Lepisosteus oculatus: one gene and its partner. Each later gene encodes a partner of the first gene's protein in a complex. Links are inferred from orthologs where the notes say so. Each region holds a gene or a part of one and is shown on either strand. Other genes may lie near its edges.

Region 1 (10,508 bases):
CAGCAGGTGGTTGTCTTACTTTTATATCTACATAAATAGGTTTATTCCATGCTGAAAAGAGAAGAAAGAAAACAACGTTTCAGCCGTGGAGCCTTCTTCAGGTGAGCCTACGCATGCCGACACATCTACCCACCTGGCTCACACCCGAAGAAGCCGCCACGGCCGAAACGTTGTTTTCTTTCTTCTCTTTTCAGCATGGAATAAACCTATTACTTGTTCCTTTGCAGCCTACACATGCTGACGCAGCTGCCCACCTGAACTATCTCCATAAATATACAAGCATGGATTTCAGGCCTTCATTTTGAATACTAGAGCTATTTTGTCATAGTCAAAGGCTTCCGAGCTGCTGCAAAATGCAGCAACTCTGTCGCAAATTTCCACTTCCACACCCGTTCTTGGTAAATGGATCAGCAAGGTCATATATTCACAATGACAGCAAACATCTTAAATAGTGGAAGAAAAAAAGGAGAAACAAACAATTAAATGCAGAACCTCAAGTCTGGCAGATGTTTTCTTGACACGAGCTGAGCAGAGAGAGAGCTTTACCTTGATCTCGATGTTTCCCACTTTGGTGGTCGATCGGATGATGGGCCTGCCGACCAGCGCGGGGAAGATGTGCTCCGGAAAGTTGGAACCAGCATAGCCACACTTGACAAACTGGCCAAGAATGAGAGAAGAGGACACGGTTTTTCAGAGGAATGGAATACATTTGGAACGCTGCCGGCTTCTAGAAGAGCTCAGTGGACAGCAAAGCTGTCGTCTTTCACATTAGCCACATGTTGTCACAGAAGGTCAGGGATTCTATTAGGAATGTGTTGCAATCCTTTGGGAAAAACTGTTTTATTGAAATTCCTGGAGTTACCACTACACATAAGTTCATCTTCTCTTTGTGCAAATGCATATAAATGTAAAGACATCCATTAGAGATGCTGTATGTATAAATAGGACATACAAGAAACTGAGAACATAAATTAAATATATTCTGAAAACCTCTCACAATGAAAGCTTAAAGGGGAACTGCAATGCAATTTTTATATTTCGGGGTTAAAAAAGAATCAGCATTGATGAGTGCATTCCACACCACAATAAAAGTCAAATGTGCACAGTATTTTGTAAATTGGAGGTTTTACATCACAAAATACACGAAATTTCCAAGTCTGCACAGCAGCATGTTCTTTGATTCAGAACGAGGCAACAAAACCTCCGGTGATGGGAGCGGCCTTATTACTTTGAAAACAAGCAGGCTGGTGAACACATCTCTTTTAATCCAAAAGAAATACTGCTCTCGACTTCCAAGATGGTTTTGTCGATAAATGGAACTTACTTGTTAACTGTACATGTAAATCATGTTGGAGACATTCTGTGGTGAAATATCTAATGCACAACCTGGACTTAGTTGCTTGTACATCACATTACATAGCTATTATGGTGACTAGTGTGCAGGAAGGGTGGTTTCACATCACAATTCGCGCAAACTCTCATGGATGCGAGATGTAAACAGCTAGTGCAAGGCAGACTCCCTCTGTGCTGGAGAGCCAGGATCCAGCACACTTTACGAATCACCTTTAAATCATCAATTTCTAAATGACTGGAACAATTTCATTTTGACCACTTAAGCAGGGGACTGGGTCAATTTAGCAGTGTAGAAATAATTACAACACTCTGTGGCTCCCAAGGATCACAGTTGTCTGTTCCTGATTTACCAGAAGTAAACCGATCGAGTTCTTCTCTTCCAAGTCTTTAGAAACCGATGATTGAAGGCAAACCTACAAGACCTACTGGATTCTCTCGCTCTCAAGGACCAGGGCTATCCCCATACAGGCATGTGGAACAGGACACTAAAATAGCTAACTACTGTAGGTATTTCCACAGCATTGCAAAACTGACCATGTTCACCGAAAAGTACTGTCTAGCTGCTACACTAAGGAAAGAATGCAGATGACCTGTCGCAACAGGCATGCCCACAGCCACACAAGCACTGAAGGCTAAAATCAGCAGTCACCGTGAGCTTAATCTCTGCAACTTTCTTCTAGACAGACCTACTCAGAGTCTCGTGTCCAAGCAGAGTGACCAATCCATTCTCTCCGATAATCCGACTCTTGTTGTACAAACAATCTAGGTCTAGGTTAAATGATTTTTTTCAAGGGACACCTCCCCAGTAGTCCAGCTGGGTGAGACCAAGCTAGTGAGGGTTACGAATCAAGCCCCAGGGTCACAAAACAAGCATGTCACAGAGCTGGAATTCAAGTCTTTTGTAACCCACTGTCCAGACGCCTACCTCCAAAAGTGCACACAATACTTAAGCCTGTGATAAAACAGCCAATATGCAAGGTGCTAGAATAGTTTGTAAGACATACAAAAACATTTCAACTAAAACTATAATAAGCATTCATACAGAAATAGATTTGATTTGTTGTATAAAACAGTTAAAGTTCTTTGGGCTGTGAATGTGGTTTCAGTGCTGATCTCACTTCCCTTTGAGTCATCAGTCAAGCAGTGCACAACTAGCACTTTTCTGCAACGCACATTAACCAACATCCTTCAAAGTGCTCTGTTAAGTTTCCCTCCCTGTGCAGTCCAGCCGGCAAGTTAATGTGCACTAGTTCAGAAAAAAACGAAACGCACGTTTCTACTGCCAAATCTCCAAGCTGAAAAAAAGAACCCACCCACTGCTCTTATCGCTAATGGGCAGAGATATCTGGACTGCTCGGTCTCTAAACGATTTATGCAATCAGCTCATTGTACCTGAGCTGATTTAAAAAGGAAACAAATGTTGTTCTTTTCAGGTTGAAATTTTATAAGCGTCCTCAGCTCGCTGGCAACCTGTTCTAAAATCTGTTCTTAAACAACAGTTGTAGAGTGCAACTACTTAATTATCTTTACACAAATTAATCACCACTGACCAAATTATTAAAACGGTGTAACACCACAATCAAAAGCCTAAGGCAATACATTTCTGTACGTGTTCAAACATTACTCACAGTATCTCCGCATTAAATATGCAGCAGTGCATGTTTTTATAGGGATCTCACCGTGGCGAATAAATACATCTAACTACACCTAATACATTTCATCTGAACTGCCACTTCCACAGGTATGCTTCAGAAGCAGTGCTCTGTAGTCTTCACACGCTGCAATGATGAAGAAAGCTAAAAAATACCTCCTGTGGCGCTGGTAAACTAATATTTGACAGAAAAGGGACACGCTGCTATGAGCTTTCTTTTTTGATGGACGGAGAATGGAGTGCACTGTGAAAAAAAAATACATAACCTCCAGTGTCCCAGAAAAAGGACAGGATGTCCATCTGACTGGTGCTTTATTTAGTCAGAACGAATTTACTTATTTATGAAAGGACTGTAAGTCTGTTTGCAATATGTTCCTCACTTACAATCTGCTGTGAACTTGGAACCCAAATACTTCATTTTATTTAAGCCGCTTTTCCGCAGTGAGTTTCATACATCAAGGAGTATCAATAAGACACCAAGACAGATGGACGGACTGAAGTCATTCTTAGTAAATCGGCAGGTTCTTAAAGTGATTTTTCTTAACGTTGTTCTTTACAATTGTTTTTCTTGGTTTGTCATTTCGCAAAGAAAGTAAATTCAGAAGCGCTTTGGGAACTAACGCGAAGAATGTGTTTGCATGTACAGACTTGAACAAACAGACGAACTGTGGCAACACACAGTACGGCAACATGGCTGCTGTATGGAGGAAATATCAATCTTTTAATCGCGGAACGCGTCACCTGTTTCACAAATGATCGGAATTTACAAATAAAGGGGCTAAAATGAGAGTTGTCCGAGCAGGGCTTTCTAATCCCGAAAACCTTCCAAGCGAAGCGCCGCGACAGATAGCCCTGCGTGATCTGACATCCTGTCGAGCTCTGTAAAACCGCAAGCAGGGGCTGTACCAGTGATAACTGTATAAGGACATTTCAAACTACAGAGGCAGAGTGCTGGTGCATTTTCAACACCGCTGTGCAACCGCTTCCAGTTTCTGTCGCCCTCGCAAACAATACTGCCCCAATTCATTGATAAAACGGCACAATCCGTAGCTTCGACTTAGAAACTTTTTTTTTGTTACCAGAACAATGCGATTCACCTACGGGGCACTTAAATATACCGTGATGGCACCGATGTACTGATGGTTCGTCATACATATGATAGGGGAGAGGAGAGAAACATCTAATGATTTCACCGGGGACATGCGAGCTCCGTTTCTTCCCCTTACGGACTAAATTCCAGCAATTATCCCCTGTGTTGGCCCTTGGTGGCAAGCGATGACTACATCCATACAAAATGCACAATGCCAACACAGTCTACCCACTACTGCAGAACGTGGCTCAACAAGGGATCTTAGCGTTGAATCTAAAACGTATATACCTTGTGAGCACCAGATTAAGCATCAGTCCCTTTGAAGAAAGCGGAATTGACAAGCTGACAGACTCACATTCCTTTGCCTACCCACCCAGTCAGCTAACCTCTTTACTTCCTGTTTCAGGCGATTCTATTTTCCATAGCCACAATCAGCCATAGAAGAATCGGGCAGAAGCACAAATCACCGAAAGTAAGAAATCTGTCATCAGACCTACCCCGGTTCCATTGTCACAAACCACCACTTTCCTTCCCTGACCGTCCATTTTTCAGAATCCAGGAACCTGCAGACCTCTCCTGCTCAACTTTCTTCAGCAAGCCGGAAATCACCACCCCGGCTCCCGGAAAGGGTTTCTTCCGGTAAGTCTGCCATGTGACCCGAGCTTCCACGTTAGAGCCCGCCCGTCTAAAAAATGGACGTGACGTTATCCAATCACAATGGAGAAAATTGCGGCAGCTGTGGCAGCTCATCCTGGTACCTGAACTGACGAGTTATTGACATGGCGTTGCAGCCAATCAGATCTTTAGGCTCTACGTTACAGTTGAAGATAAGTATTCTTTTCAATGAGCCAGCGAAGACCTTGTCGGTTCCGAGGGAAAAAAGGGTGTGTGTTGTTTTGTTTGATACAGGAAGAGAATGAAAATGTTAAAATGTTTATAAATGTACTTCTGGTATTGTCACATACAAATTACCATTTGCTATAGACATGAGGGATGATAATGCTACAAAACTAATACGACATTTTGTATTAGGCAATAAGAACAACAATAACAATAATAACCAATATACTGAATGGTGCTATAGTAAAACACTAATCTTAATACAATGTGTCGAAAATACAATGTTAACATAGTTTTAATGTTCTACGGTAATCTTATGAGATTTACTGACCGATTTCAATAGTATTTAACAAAAAATGCAAAACATGTAAAAGCTTGCAAAGGTAACACAAGAAAAAAACTCTCAGTGTGGGCTTTACTTCTAAATTGAAAATGAAACCAGGAAAACAAGTAGTAGTCGGACTAGAAAAAAATACTATTAATCCTCAATATGAACCTGTTGTTCCTGTCTTCTCAAAGTATACAACTATAAATACCACCCCTGGACTTCAGACAGGTGCTGAGTAGGTACAGTCTGTGAGGCCTTGTGCAAGATAAAACACTGTTGACTAGCAAAGTGACAAATGTCGTGACTGTGTATGAAGATGAATCACTTATCGGCCTGTATCTGTGTATGAAAATGAAGCAATTAAAGGAATACTGATTTTTCCACTCCATTGAAGGTTGTTTCTGTAAATTGCCTCATTTTGTAGAATAAGCCACTCCTTAGTCTCCTGGAGGTGTTTACTAAAATTGTCTGTTCAGCAGGTGACCCAAAATCAGTACCTGCTACATGAGTATCACCAGAGATCTCTGGAGGAATGGCTGCTGTAGGTACCTGGTCATTTTCACTGCCCGCTGTAGAGAAAATGAGGTATTTAATTGTACAAGGACAGCACTCCACTGATTGTGTGGAACAGGCTATGGCAGGTAAGTGACACTCAGGACTCAACACTACAACATCTTGCCTAACACTCGGCTCTACATTGAGGTGATATAAAGGAAATAAAACATCACACAAGCCTCCACACAATACACAGTACCAATGCATTTCACTTAAATCATTACAAAGATCGGTTTTAAACACGTGAGGAGACTTATCCAAATGTAACTGATCTTATTAAAAGGTCAGTTTTCTGCTGCTATGGGTGTCCATTGCAAAATGTGACCAATATAAACATTAGGGCTAGATTTGATCTATTCCTTTGTTTTACCAGCTATGTCAATTAAGATCAAATTCAAATTATTTTCACTGATGGCCTGGGGCTCCATGTATGAGTGGGAGGAATGTAGGCATGTAAAAAGAGTAAGTACCCGGTTGAAGAGTACAACAGCAGCATTTACCTGGGATTCGAGCACCCGATCCTTGTGGTCCAGAGAGACAACCACTGTTCCACTCTGTATTTCGAAGGATTGTAAAGATTTGTAGGCACACTCGGATAATGTCACATCAGCGGCTCGTTTTATCTTTGGGACAGCCATGGGAATTTGTGCCTGTTTGCAGATTGCATGGCAATCTATGGTTTTCTGCAGTTGTAGTTTTTATTTTTCTAGAATAGATACTTAAAATAGTTTATTGAGTATTAATGACCAAAAAAAAACTAAATGAGATTAAGATCATATTAATCAGAACTAATAGGGATAATCACATCAGGGTTACCTGAATGATAACTAATAAGAAGTCCTTACACTTATATAGTATATTATATACGCTCATCACATACCAGCTATCAGTGGGGAGGAGAACAGAGTGGTAAAGCCAGTTCATAGATGGGTATTTTTTAGTGACCACAGAAAATCAGGGCCTCGGTTTTACATCTCATTCTAAGGATGGCACCTATTGAACAGTATAGTGTTCCCGTCACCATACTGGGGCATTAGGACCCACTCAGACCGCAGGGTGAGCGCCCCCTACTGGCTCCACTGACCCCACTTCCAGCGGCGACCTCAGTTGTCCCAGATAGGTCTCCCATCCAGGTGCTGGACAGGCCGGGTACTGGCTTCAGTGTGTTGTCAGTTGTGAGCTGCACAATGATATAGCTGCTGAAGAGCTCTGCTCACTGGAGCTCTGCGTGTTTCTAGATATTGAGAATGACAGGGAGACGGGCCGGTTCGTCGTGGGCAGAGGGGGCTACCCCAACAGCGAGGGGCTGGTTGAGTGTGACGCTGCGCTCATGGAGGGGATCGCGGGCCGCTTTGGTGCAGTGGCAGCCCTTCAGGGGTAAGACAAGTATACACCCTTTACATCGAATTGTTCCTTTTTACTTGCTCTCCTTTTTGGCAACCTTGATACTTTAATCCACAAAGCCAAGAGCGGTGACTCCTAGCCAGCTTCACTGCTACATTTGAAGTGCTGAAACCTTGCAGCCGATGAGTGCGACTGTTCTGGTGAGAGGCTGATTAAGTATCCTGTGCACCGCCTGTCTTTTTCCTTTTGTGCTTTTATTTTCGGCATGTCATGGAATCTGTCTCTTTGCCTCTGTGCTAGACGACAAATAAGTGTTTTCAGAGAGAAAATTGCAAGGTGTCAGCCATAGTCACTGGCTTTAACAGGACACGCTTTAAATAATGAAGTACTGTGTCCCCCAGCTTCCAAGCAGGAGGCTGATCAGGAGACTGATGCATTTCTAAACACCGGCCCAATGGCGCCCTCTAGTGTCGATCCACGTCGCTACAGTCTTTTCTCTACTGCTGTGGAGACTTTAGCCAGGTGGCAGTAAAAGTCCATTTATGTGAGCTCAATAAGACAAAATATTTGATTATTTTTAAAAGCGCTCCCTCAGCTGTTCAGTTTTAGCGTTTTAAAGTGTTGTATGTCTGAAGAACATGTCACAAATGTTTCTCTACTGTACTGTGTTCCTCCCGGTTAGCATCCCGTTCCTTCGCAATCCGGTGGATTGTTGTGCCCCCTATGTCTGTGCCCCTGACGCGTGTGTGTGGTGTGTGTGTGACAGTGTGGGGACTCCAGTCAGAGTGGCCCGCAGAGTCATGGAGCAGAGCTGTCACAGCCTGTTGGTCGGGGAAGGAGCCCTGGCGTTTGCCCTGGAGCAGGGTTTCACCGTGGAGGACAATGAGAGCATGCTGGCTCCAGAGACAGCCAGGGCCTATCAGGTAACATTCACCTCCAGCTGCTGAATTATAGATCATCAGGGGCAGCCTATGTGGGTCTCTTGTTATTCAAAACTGCACGGTAATATCCATTCGATATGTATTCATATTTACATATTAATACCTGTACACGGGCATTATTAATGTTCACACACTGCATTCCAGCACAAGTGATCCTGTTTACTAATGTATTAATCCTGACATCTGTCAAACCAGAATGTACAACATTTTGTGTTTTACTCTGTCTTGTAAAATGAAGTGATTTCTGTGTTTTGAGACTAAGAGAAAGAGGCAATTTGGGCAAACTGTCCAGATGTTTATTGAATAAATACAATTACAGTATGTACCAAAAGTTCATAGTGTAGTCACACTATGTTTAATGCACTGACAAATAAAAACCCCAAAGAAGAGGCAGGTATACAAAGAAAAAGAGAAATCATGTTTTTGTACTTTGTGAACTAACAAAATAACACTTTTTAAAACAAAACATTCATCTGTGTTATTTAATTTTTGAGACATCTATATTTGTAAACTAGAAACCAATGTAATTGTAGAGCACAGGAAAATGTTTTATTACAATTTATAATAAAATATTTATATGTATAAGTATAGAATTAATATTGTTTTATTTTGAACAATGTTTTATCTTTCTGATTTCAAGGATTTTTGTTCACAAAGACCACTCATGTCAAGAGTGGCTCAAGTAGCAGTACTGAAATACTGCAGTCTGACGTGAGAAAATACAGAAAATGTCAGCTGGAAACATTAAGAAAGCCATTGAAATCAATTTTGAGAGCATGGAGAGATCTAAGATCTCAAAGTGTCTGGCAATGAGTGCTTTGCAATGGCTTCTGTAGCTCTTCAAACCCAAACACTCTCTGGTCTTTTCTGGTGGAATAGAAGGACGACAATGGATATGTTATGTCCAGATAGTTTTGTCTAAAAGTATAAAAGTTTTCATAAAAACATTTGGTGGGCAATACTGGATCTTGACTAAGCAGAAATAAAGGAGAATTTGCAAAAAAAGGGTGTGAAATTCCACAGACAGCTACTTACAGTAGTTCCTCTTAAAGGAAAGGGTCTAGAATTGTCTGGTCTTGGAGTAATTCATCTCATTCTCGCCAGCCTGGAGAATACTTTCGAGATTTTCAGTACCTCTGATTAAAAGCTGTACAGTAATTAAGAACTCCTAATGAAATTACACGGTCAGGTGACAGGATTCTACAAGAAGTAATTGCTTTTGTATTTGCTTCAGATTAATTAGGAAAGCATCAGTTTCCTTCAGTCTTAATGCCTGGTTTGAAACAGTTGGTTTTAAAAGTAAGCTACCAGTGTAATCCATATACTGTAGGTAGGACAATTCCAACTATTGTTATAAATTACACAAATATGCTGAAGTTATATATTTTTAAATATTTTAACAAAATTATGTTTATCCTTTCTATTATATCTAAGGATTTTTTAGAAAAGAAGAAAAGTTTGTCTGGACACGACACATTGGGTAAGGATTCAACATGAACCAATAAAAAGTCCTGGTCTTCCAATGAACAGAAAATGCACAACTTGAACCAGAAGATGGACTATAGTTTCCAAAGCTTCTCCATCCAAGATCAAACTCAGATCCTCGATGGACTAGTATCGTCCCGGTTTCTGGTACTTGATGTAATAATTTAACTGCATCGATGTAATACTTCTAACCTGGCTATAAGGTATTGTGTACAGTTGTATGCAAAAGTAGGCACCCCTGGTCAAATTGCATGTTTCACTGTTTTATTTTTTTTTTCAGTCTGTTAAATTCAGGAAATAAATAGCAACTGTACGTTAAACTGTGCAGAAATGTGTCATGTTAAAGTTTGTACCCTGCACAGGTTGTGTTAACTTCTTTTCACTCAGAGATTCTCTGAAACATGCAATTTGACCAGGGGTGCCCAAACGTTTAAATCGATTGTGTAAACATATATGATATATTGGCATATAAAAATAAATCCTTTATATGACTTAGAAAATAATTAGGTTAATTGTTTTGACGGTTGAGGTTTTAATAAAATTAGAAGACACTGCGTTCTGCAGGAATTCCAGGAAAAGGATTTTGAGACCTCTATCTAGAGGAGAGAAATACATGTCAGAAAGTTAGGGTCTTTCAGTCGCTATTAGAGTTATGCTATGTGTTTTTGTTTTTGTATTTTATTACGTTTTTTATTGTTATAGTTTCATACATTACTTTTCATGCGTTGGATTTTTTTTATTTTTAGTCTAGGAGTGAATTAACCCATTTATTTAGGCGTGCAGTAAAGTCCTACATGCACACGGGGGAGCCGAAACATTTAGTTTTTAAAAATAATATGGATCTCGTCAATGTTTCGATCGTGCATCCCTCTAAAAATCATTGTCCTTCTCGTTTTCAAGGAGGTTCTGTAAATCCTCTTA
Region 2 (10,775 bases), on another chromosome or scaffold:
TTCTGGTTCATGCTGCCAGATCTTTTGTACCTTTTCCTTAGAAATACATTGTGTCATATTTATGTTAATTAGATTCATATTGATTTCTGAAAATGTTTTAGAAATGTTAATGGTTTCAACTCAATAACACAGACCAATGTCAGGTCGTACTAGCGAAGTGAAAAACTGTAAGCTAACGTTTCATTTCAGCTGCTGCATAGCTCAGTACTACAAGCTGCTTAGTTTTAAAGACACTGAGACAACAGCTGGAAATACATGCTCACTCTTTGTTTCCTCACCTGTCACTTGGCCATTGTGCTCCTTCAGCTCGTGGATCTTGGTCCATTTGGTTCCTTCCTTCTTGTAGATATAGACATCATGGTTGTTGGGACATAATGCAATTTCTGAAAGATAGGTTTATGAAAAGCAAATTAATATTATTATACTGTATGTAGACAACTGAAGAAGGCTCCACAGCCGAAATGTTGTGTCTCTTTTCTTCTCTTTTCAGCATGGAATAAAACTTTACTTGTTCCTTTGCAGCCTACACATGCTGACACAGCTAACTACTTATATTATTATATATACTGTAACTTAATATAAAGTCCAGTGGATATTACAAGCTGCCTCTGTTATAAATGCTCTCTGGACTGCTCTAAGCAGCATTGCTGACTTGTAGGCTGATTCCATCAAATGTCAGTACTCTGATGGGAGACCTCCATGGAAAACCAGGGTGCAGCTACAAGGAGTACTGTGGTGGACGAGTAGGTGACACTCTTCCATTTGGTTCTCAAACCAGTACCCCAGTATGGCAACCAGGATTTCGACTACTTGATCATTAAAAATCCTGTAATGTAAAGTGTTCCCTTTTTGGTGAAACAGTTTCTCACTTCTCTTCCTTATCTGCTGTGTAGTGGGATGGCTGACATAATGTAATAGTGGCTGCTATGCATCACACAGATTTCACTGTTGGATGAAGTGGGTTCCTCCTAATATGTGAATAACTTTGATGCCTTTTAGGATGAAACATTCTAGATAAATAGATATGCCAGCTTCAATATTCACAATATTGTTCAACTTCTCCAAATAATAAAAATTACATATCAGTTGTGAAGGGTGTGAAAAAATTAAAATCCACAGAATACGGTGCACATAGATGGATACTGTTCTTTTTTACCAAAGCTTTCTTAATAGATGCTGGCAAATGACAATGACCTTGGTTCTCATGCTGTGTGCACAAAAAATTTACAGCAAACTGACTGTTCCCTAGTTTGTCAAGGACAGAAAAATATCAGCCATGTCCTCTACAGGTAGATTTGCGAATGTGGTGTAAAAAAATAGCTCAAGCTGAAATAATTTGCATAGGATGTTCTCACAATATCAATATAGGCTTCTCTGGCTGTGTCAAACCACTTCCTAAAACACAAATACATTTGTGCTGATGAATGGCTTTCATAAAAACATTAATATTTAACTTGAATTCAAGTCCCAACACCCCCTCTTTTTATAGGAGAGGATTGTTTCCACTACTAAAACAGACAGCCAGCAATTCACGGTAGAGTTGGGTTATTTCTCTGTTCTGCTGTGGTCTGCTTTAGGCACATCCAATCATCAACAACGAACCATTCATGGTAAAACAGGAAGTCTGGGTGGAATTAGTCACTGCTGTTTCTCTCATCAGACGGAGAGAAAATATGAGACGGGTGTATAACTACAAACACACCATACTGTTCAACTGCATTTACACATATACATACAATAACCACAAATGACTATACATGGCTTTTTCCTGTAAATTATCTTTGAACAAAGAAGTATTTTTCTAGATTGTGTCTGAACACATGAGTGTGGACTTTTTCGTTCTACTTTTTTTGTGATCAACATCCTTCAGCTCTAACTGTGGCAGTTTCCTAAAAGTGGTATTTATCCCAAATAGAACTCTTGAAGTCTCAGCGTCAGTTTCGAATACATTTTCTGGAATCTTTGGCTACTCGGCCAGTTTGCATTTAGGAAGCTCCTTCGCAAAATGGAACTTTGGAATGGAATTTTATTTTAAATAATCCCCCTGTCTGTCCAGCCCGGGTTAAGTTAATCTAGATGTTGTTTGTGGTGCAGAAGTAAGGCTTTGCAGTTTACAGACTAACTGGGTGGATCCCGTCTTGAAAAACAACCGCTGGGAGAAGCAAAGGCAGCTGTTTAATACCACATGTCTTGCCAGATATCAGCATATACATTCATAAGCAGAAATCTAATCAACATGGTCCTGTAAGTGAATATCAAAGAGGCAGATGCATGCACGCAAATTGTGAACAAATACCACTCCCAAGCAAACCCATTAAAACGGGATAGGGCTTCTGTTTAAAGCATTTTTAGCCCCTGTAGTATATATTTTCCACCCTTGTAATTACAAGTTTGGAAACTATGTGAAAGAGTAGCTTCAATAATAGTAGCTTCAGTTGTAGTTCTTCTGGTGTTGTGCAGCAAAATTGGTTCAGGTTGGCTTTTAGGTTTTTTCCACTTAAATTCAATGTTTTTGTTTCATTTCCCTTTATCCTTTTTAGATTAAAACTTTTAGGAAATATTTATTTCTGCAAAACCTCTATACACATCATATGCATTCTGAATCTACAGGAGAGAGCATGTTCTGAGAAAGTAAAATTAGTATCATAAGGAAATCTAGGGAAATTCAGTAAATGCTGACTGCCAGTTTCTACTTGCTCTTCCAAAGGAAATACCTCCAACAACCTGGCTATTGGCCAGTGGCTATATTTAACTTCAGAACCATATATCTGGAGAACTTAATATGAGGTGTAGTAAGTGAGCTGATTTGGGGACGTTGTGAATAAATTCTGCTGTGAATACAAATTCTGTTACTCTTTTGCACCAACCCAAAACAAATGCAAATGTATACTCACGACTCCTGTCTTTATTCCAGGCATGGCAGCTGATGGGTTCCAGGAGAAAACTGTGGTAAGACATGGCTTATGACACTGAAAAATAAATATGTCGTATGAGGTTAACTGCTCTCTGTATTCAAACGCCATAACCCATATGTTATATTAGTGATAAATTAATTCGAACATTTGATTTTTCTACAGTGATGTTGTGTAATAACTATGCAGTATTGCTAATCTAGTATAATTTGAAATATTGGCATTGGCAAAAAGAAGACTCTGTTCAATGGCTATGCACAGGTTAAAAGTTGTTTAAAAATAGCAGAAATGCATATCCACATATGAAAAAAATGCAGTTGCAGTGTGCACACTAAAACTGTGTCTTTGTCAGAGCACTTCCGCACCCAACCGCAAAAGGAGAAGTTGTAAATGCAGAAGCTGCATCTCAATAATTTGTTTGACATAGTGAGCTTTATGCATGAAGGTAACAGGCTGAAAACTCCATGAATGCCCTAATTACAAGGCAGCTCTGTTCAGATCTACTTTCTGTGGTCTCTAGGGTAATTAAATGCAGGCCAGCCTGGAACGTGACCTGCTAGCGGGAAATGTTTGATGTCTTCAAAACATCCCCACATTACAAGTCCAAAAATAACAAGTTATTTATGGAAAATATATCAAATTATGTTTTTACTATGCATGAATTCTGTGTACCAGGCTTGTGTGAATATTAGCTGTTGCAAGCTCCACTCTTTGGACAGCAGTGGTCTCAATTCTCTGTCGTATAACTACCATCCACTAGCCCAGTTCCCGTGCTGGAACAGGATAAATCTTTGAATGGATTTAAAAAAAAATCTTTCAATTTTGAAAGACTCCCAAAGTTGAAACCATTTTACTTTAGAAAAAAAAAATATATTGACAGCAAAGAAAAGAACCCTGTGTTTTTTAATAGGGCTTTAACTGTCATTTTACATCACTAAAACAACTATACCTAAACCTGTAAAAGTCATAAAAGTGGAAAAAGTTCAAATAACACTTTAACTGACATTAGCAGTTCTGAGGTGCATGAAATACTGGACTTTTGCTATTTTTGCAACAGATTAAAAATTCAGAAGAAAGCAGTGGTATGTTTACTTACCGGTACCTCTTGAACTAAAAAGTTGAAGGAGATGAAAATTGGTCAAAATGTAAAACAAGCAGCCTCAGTTCATGGACTCTGAGCAGTCAACACGAACGCTGGCTCTGAATGAGCTGAAGAAAACTTATTTCTCTGAAAACTGTTACACTTCCCTTTTCCTGCTTCAAAAGTGTAACCACTTCCTTGTGTGGGCGGCTTTCAGCTAGCGAGCAGGACCCAAGCTTTAACGGCACATACCGGCTTGTCAGCAGATATGTAACCCCTGCCCTTCTTCTCCATTATTCACCAAGACCCTTTCATCTCAAAATTGTCTGGTCTAACTTGGCTTCCAGGACTAAAACCGTAATGCTAAAATTCATCTGAAAGTCATTAGGAAAATGTGGGTGGGGCTTTACAATAAGAAATGTGCAGAAGTATACCCTACATATGGAAACTAAAGCGATTTAAAAGTTGTAAGCACAATTTTGTGAAAATTACAGAAAAGTCAAATTTCTCTGCCCTTTCCCTCACCAAGTAGAGGTTAACAACTGGACTATGGCAAAATAAATATGCATTTTCATTACTTTATGAATTTTTAACAGTTTTGAGGACAAGTAATCAGAAATACATACAGAAACACAAACAATGTGCTAGCTGTATCCATCTAAACTATCTCCTACACAGTGCGGATGTGACTCACTATAAATATACAGTAACCATTTAAATCTTAGTACTACAATTAATAAACTATTATATGCTGAAGTGTAACACTAACATTAATAGAAATATGTACTTTAAATATCCACTAGAGATACATTCATGTGGTCTTGGCTCATTTTTTGTTCAAGAGTATTTGCATATGCACATGCAGTTCAGGTTTCACAGGTTTGTAAAAGCATGTCCTGTCTCGTTTTCACTAGTTCACTATCCAGTCTGTCTTTGTGACATAAGCTGTTTGCATTCAGTTGGTGTTCAGAGTAAAGGGAAGATGTCTTGAATGGACAGATGGAGCACTGTTAGAACATGAACCCTGAAAGCTGACGTGCACGACATGACTATCCAGAGAGGGAGCAAACTGAAATTTGATCCAGATCCTATATGGATAGGTAATGCCTTTTGCGTTTTTATCACATGGAAAATATCACATCACTTTCAATAACCACTTATCCATTTCATGGTCAAGGTGACCCAGAACCAAATGGAGAAAATATACTACACAAATTAAAACTGCTGTTAAAAAAAATCACTTTTTGAACATTTCAGGCACAAAATGCATACTCGCATTAAAAAATTAAAGAAAGCTTTGTGCAGAAAAATGAAAATTTTAATTACATCTAAAGAAAAAAAATTAAATCTTCAAATCTTAATTTGAAGTTACCGACTTGATATTTAATTTTTTATGCATTATACACCCTCAACAATAAACCGAAAAGGTTTAATTAAAAAACAACAATTCTTAAACTCAATGCAGATACAGTACTTGCATAATTCTTTACAATGTGATGATCAACGATTTTCAAATGCTGCCCCCATGCTTACCAACTCAAATTTATGTCCAACCATAATGCCATACACTAGTCTACTGCATTCACCATAATAAACCAGAGTGCTGAAAAATTCTGCGGAGCTGCACTCTATAGAGGTGGTGATACTACAAAACATTTCAAGTACACAAGCAGCACAAATTCTTCAGCATAACATAGAATAGAAGAGTTACAAAATATTCTTGGCCACCCTGGCCCATTTGGCAACCTTGTAGCTAATTGATTTAAGATTTTAAAGAAGCTAAACCTACATGGTAGATTGTTGCATACTCCTACAACCCTTTGTGTAAAAAGTGGTTTCTGTTCTCAGTTTTAAAGGTTTTCTCAGCTTCCACTTCTGACTTCTGCTAATCTTCCCTGCTAATGTTTAGTAATATAAGAAATAAAGGATTCATGTAAACATCAAATAAAAACACTTATTCAGGGTGAGTAGTGTATGTTTTTTATTACAAGTAGAACTCTTACATGAAATCCCCCTTTAATGTTCCAAAATGTGTCCAGAGGAGCTCATTTCAAATGACTTACTATCAAACTGCTGGGTAGCAGCTTTGGTATCAAGAATCAAGAAAATCACAGCTAAAGTAATAACCAAAGATTCCAAACCCATTTCCTCTTTATTTCTTTTTTTAAATAAACAATGATGTCAGTTTTTCCTGTCTTTCAGTGCTTTTTGATGAATCTTTTGAAAGGGTTGTCAGAAGACACCTTGTTAGTCATCAAACTGCATGGCTTGCGAGTTGCTTCATGCCAGTTAACTTGCGCTTTCCCTTACATGATCCGCAGGCCTTGGATAGAAGACTCTAGTGTCTGTGGGAGAGGGAGAGTGGAATTGCACGGTTAAAACGTGAATGCTTATTGCTAGATAGCTAGATAAAACCTTCATACTGCAGTCTCAGCGCACCCAGGGCTAGGATGTACCACACTCACAATCTAGTGAAAAAGACAAGTCTTTTACAGAGTACTGTACAATAAATACAAATACAATACCACCTTATGAGAGTTTTCATATGGTCGTGCTTAAATAACAATCAATAGATAAAATAAATGCATTAAGTAAAATTGTTAAAATTACAGATCACAATTAAGCTAAAAATAATGCATACCTCATCAGTTACTGCTTAGCTGTCAATGGTAAGAAAGACTACAAATGATAGTACTAGTTGTACTGATATTTTAACTTCAGTTTTTATTTAAATACTTAACTACTGTGCCAAGAGTTTTAGACAATCTAATGCGAGTACCTTAAAGTCCCATATGGTCATTGCTCCATCAATTCCTGTAGTGCAGAATTTACGACAATCTCTTTTGTCTCCTTCATATATAGACACTTGGCTGTAAAAAAGACACCCCATTTTTGTGGACTTGATTCTTGGTTAATATTATTCTACCTCATCCCAGTTCAACCTATGCAATCATGACATACTGTTGTACAGTTGTAAACAACTTCTAGCCCTATCATTGTGAGAGTACATCTTAAAAAAAGCAATCCTATAGTCTTATTGTTGTGAATCGGGGTACCTTAACTGTTTTCTTATACAATGTAAATACACTAATATATTACTAATATTTAGTTTCGTGTTTATGGTTTACCTTAACTTACACGATATATAACCATCACACTATGCAACAGCTATGTTAAAAAGTTTTTGGATGCATATGTGCACAGCACATCTTCTGCAATGAACAAGTTCTTCATTTGGACTATTGTGCAGACACACTAGGCAAATCTCTACAATGACTCCCTTACGTGATGCTGTTTTGGTGCAGCGTCTCCAGAGTAGCGTTGCGGTCCTCGGTTGTGGCTCTCTTGTCCATGTTGCGGAAGCGTTCCATGGCAGAGATGTTGCGCTGGATGCTTTGCTTTGGAATGTCTAACTTGGAGATGAAGGTCAGAGACCCACGGTCATCACAGTTAAACAGCATTGGGCAGCAATCATGACCCTAGCACAAAGAATGCACATTTTGTTATACGGGGAAACGGCAGCATCATGTTTGGATTTTGTTTGTAGAACCATAATTAAATTGAAATATGTTCAGGGGAAATGCCCTTTAAATTTTAACACTACTTTGGATCACGAGGAGGTCTGTAAGTTGTCCTGATATTCTCATTTGAATAAGGAAAAACTATGTGTTCCTTTCATAGATCTGAAGAATAGTCAAAAAGCCACTGGTCATAATCAAAGCATGCATCCCTTATTTCTCCCCATTTGTCAGCAAATCCTTTTTTAAACTCAATGAAAGAAATGCAAAAGGCTGCATATTAACTAAATGCTTCAACCTAGATCTAATTCAATACAAATTAAGCAATATCATTGATACTTTGGAACATAAATGTTGCTGTACTATTGTCTTACCGCTGCAACAACACTGTTCTCCGATACAAATATCACACTCAGAAGAGGAAGGAATTCTGTCTTGAGCTGGGCACACCTAGAATTATAAAAGCATTAAATTAATCCATTATTCGATCAGATTCAAGCTTCAGACAAAATGCACCAGTGCACTGTACTTAGCTAACAATTATAGAAAAAAGATACTCTGCATAGTTTTAAACAAGCTTTGTAGGAACTCAGTGGAAATGAGAGTGACCCAAAGTCCAACCTAATTACTAAAACAAAGTAAGTGAGTTATAAACAAACCTATTAACAGAGTTTTTTTCTAAAGTAATAATTGTCAATTATTTCTGTTACACTTAGCTATTCCAAATCGGGCACATATGTATTTTCCCATGTTTCAGATCACGGATATAAATCATACACAAAGAGAATGAGGAAGTGCAGGCAGAGTGCTCAAACCCGCCCACTGTTCTGCATGTGTTTTAACAAGGGAGACTCAGTGCTGATTGGAGGAGAGGCATGTCCCTAACTGACAGTATCACAAACCTCAAAGAGGGCTAAGAGAGCCCTGCCTGACAAATTAGATGAATTGGAAATGGCCATTTGGGGTATCATGGTCACAGTTGGCTAATGACATGACTCAGGCTAGCACCAATGACCACAAAGCTGAGTCTGTGCTCAGTGAGCACGTTTTTTAGTTGAGCCACTCAGGAGGCTCCACACTTAACTTGATTTTCAACCAGTTTGCTTCACCTGCTTCACGACCCTTCAGAATGAGAAAGAGAAAGTTGCATATGATCTGAAAAAGAGCCATTTTGGTATTTCAAACATGTACTGCAGGCTGCACCCAAAACAGATCTACTTCCTGGATACAATGATCTACTTTCTTTCCATGCACATCTAAATAACTTAAAATTCTACTTACATCATGCTTTTGGAAGCGTCTACAACGGACACCGTGCTGTCGTGACTGACCCAGGCTAGGCGGTTCCCGCTGGCAGAGAAGCAAACACTGTGAACCCATCCTCCACTCCCGACACCCCCAAACTCTGCCATCACCTGTCCAAAAGGCATCTTGGAACCCCAGGGAGTGGGTGCTGGTTTCTCTTCTACTTCCTTGATGTATGCAGAGAATACTCTTAAAGGAGGGAAAAAAGGTACATGATTTTGTGTGCATGCCAATTATAAAATATAAAGGTAACAATGCTTTTCAGCTAAATACTGAATAAGATGTCATGCATACCCCAATTACTCACTTAGCTTCACTTATCTTAAAGCTTCCACTTTGCAAATTAACACTGCTTTTCACCACATAGTTAGATTGCACCTGACTGTTCCAAATATGGTCAAACCATCAAATGTGCTCACCTGCATTTGAAATCACAGGATCCAGCAGCTAAGAGGACATTGTTAGGATGCCAATCTAAGCTCAGGACTGTAGAGCGAATGGGCTTCTTGATGTGTTTACTAACCCACCTAAAAAAAGATAATAGATATACCTTTAAGAAGAATGATTTATTCTGTGCACTTTAAGATTAAATTTGTTCATGTTATGTAAAGAACATAGGTAGATTTACTCTTGAATTTCATTAAATAAACATGTATATTACCTTTACTTAATTATTTTAATTTATTTTATGCCCAATTTAATTAGTGCACTGAAGTTCAGATTTGCTTCTGCTCTCTACACTACAGAAAATGCTAGTTAAATTAAGGGAAGAGAAAATCTATATTGTACAACCAAATGCTTAAGCTACTGCTAAGAGTAAACTGGCAGATTAGAACCAACACTCAGATCTGATTGTGATTTCTTCGGAGCAACAGTCTATCGACATCCTGGAAACTTTTTTTTTTACAGTAATCTGGTAGTTTCTAAGAGGCAACCTGACCGTGATCTACAGATTCAGAGGGTAACTTTCATTACCACACAGATACAGCATGACACCTCTGAATTTATGGATCAATCAGCAAAATTGTGAAAGTCCAAAATAAAGAACTGGGCAGCATCTAATCAGGGAAAGCTGACATTCATCCACTCCAGTGAGGTTTACCAATCGTTTTCAGACTCAAAGTAGCACACGGAGATGAGCCGAGCTCCACTGCCCACGGCAAACTTGTTCTCCAGCGGTGACCACTTCACAAACGTGGCTGCTCGGTTAATCCTCAGAATCACCAGTGTCGGTTTCCACACTCCGTCCCCATCCTTCTGACTCCAGACATAGGCATTGCGGTCTGCACCACACGTAACAATACGATCGCTCTTAGGGGCCCAGTCAATTCCTGCACAGAGAGAAGAGCATAAAAATGTAATTTGTACAGCTGCATTCAGTTTAATTTTCCAGTGTCCGATATGTAATAAGTTCTAATTCTTTCCTCTTAAAAAGAAAAGAAAAATCTCTCATGGGTGACTGATGTAAAAACCAAACTTCCTGTTTAACTACCAAATATTCTCACCTTTTCTACGAATTAAAAGACTATTAATGCAAGATGGCATTTCCTATCCTCTGTGGAGATCAAGGCTCTAGCCATGAAATGCTTTACTTAAATCCTGTGCAAATAAGAACCACTAAGCACCAATGGTGATTAACCAGATATATTTTAGTAATTCAGAAAGCAGTGAAAACATAATAGACTGGCTGCAAGTCCACCCTCACAACTAAAACTAAGAGGCTGTTGTGACAGAAAAGTCAACCACTTGAAATATACCTGTAATGTGCCCATTGTGCTCCTTCAATTCATGAATTTTTGCCCACTGGTTTCCATTCTTCTTGTAAATGTGAACTTCGTGATTGTTGGGGCTTATAGCAATTTCTGAAACAGAAATATAGAAAAAGAAAGCACAGATTACCCATATTCAACACTGTACAACATGAAAATAACGTAGGTAGGAAAATGGGCTCCTAACATT

The links. Proteins that work in one complex are often made in the same cells at the same time.
Region 2: actin-related protein 2-B (region 1) and arpc1b share a complex: the UniProt entries of both Homo sapiens proteins name them as parts of the arp2/3 complex. The link is inferred for Lepisosteus oculatus from reciprocal best matches to the Homo sapiens genes ACTR2 and ARPC1B.

What each region holds. Positions count from the first base shown.
Region 1 is NC_090712.1:9,088,100-9,098,607, forward strand, and holds the start of actin-related protein 2-B, read right to left. Parts: upstream 4,730-10,508; 5' UTR 4,640-4,729; coding exon 4,592-4,639; intron 658-4,591; coding exon 547-657; intron 1-546. Other genes in the region: N(4)-(Beta-N-acetylglucosaminyl)-L-asparaginase, read left to right, coding at 5,795-5,903, 7,056-7,194, 7,928-8,084, 9,537-9,582. UniProt on the Homo sapiens protein: ATP-binding component of the Arp2/3 complex, a multiprotein complex that mediates actin polymerization upon stimulation by nucleation-promoting factor (NPF).
Region 2 is NC_090714.1:10,176,614-10,187,388, forward strand, and holds the start of arpc1b (actin-related protein 2/3 complex subunit 1B), read right to left. Parts: upstream 4,150-10,775; 5' UTR 4,009-4,149; intron 2,970-4,008; 5' UTR 2,959-2,969; coding exon 2,895-2,958; intron 384-2,894; coding exon 279-383; intron 1-278. Other genes in the region: arpc1a (actin-related protein 2/3 complex subunit 1A), read right to left, coding at 6,300-6,338, 6,773-6,863, 7,279-7,472, 7,886-7,961, 8,793-9,005, 9,236-9,343, 9,919-10,147, 10,574-10,678. UniProt on the Homo sapiens protein: Component of the Arp2/3 complex, a multiprotein complex that mediates actin polymerization upon stimulation by nucleation-promoting factor (NPF).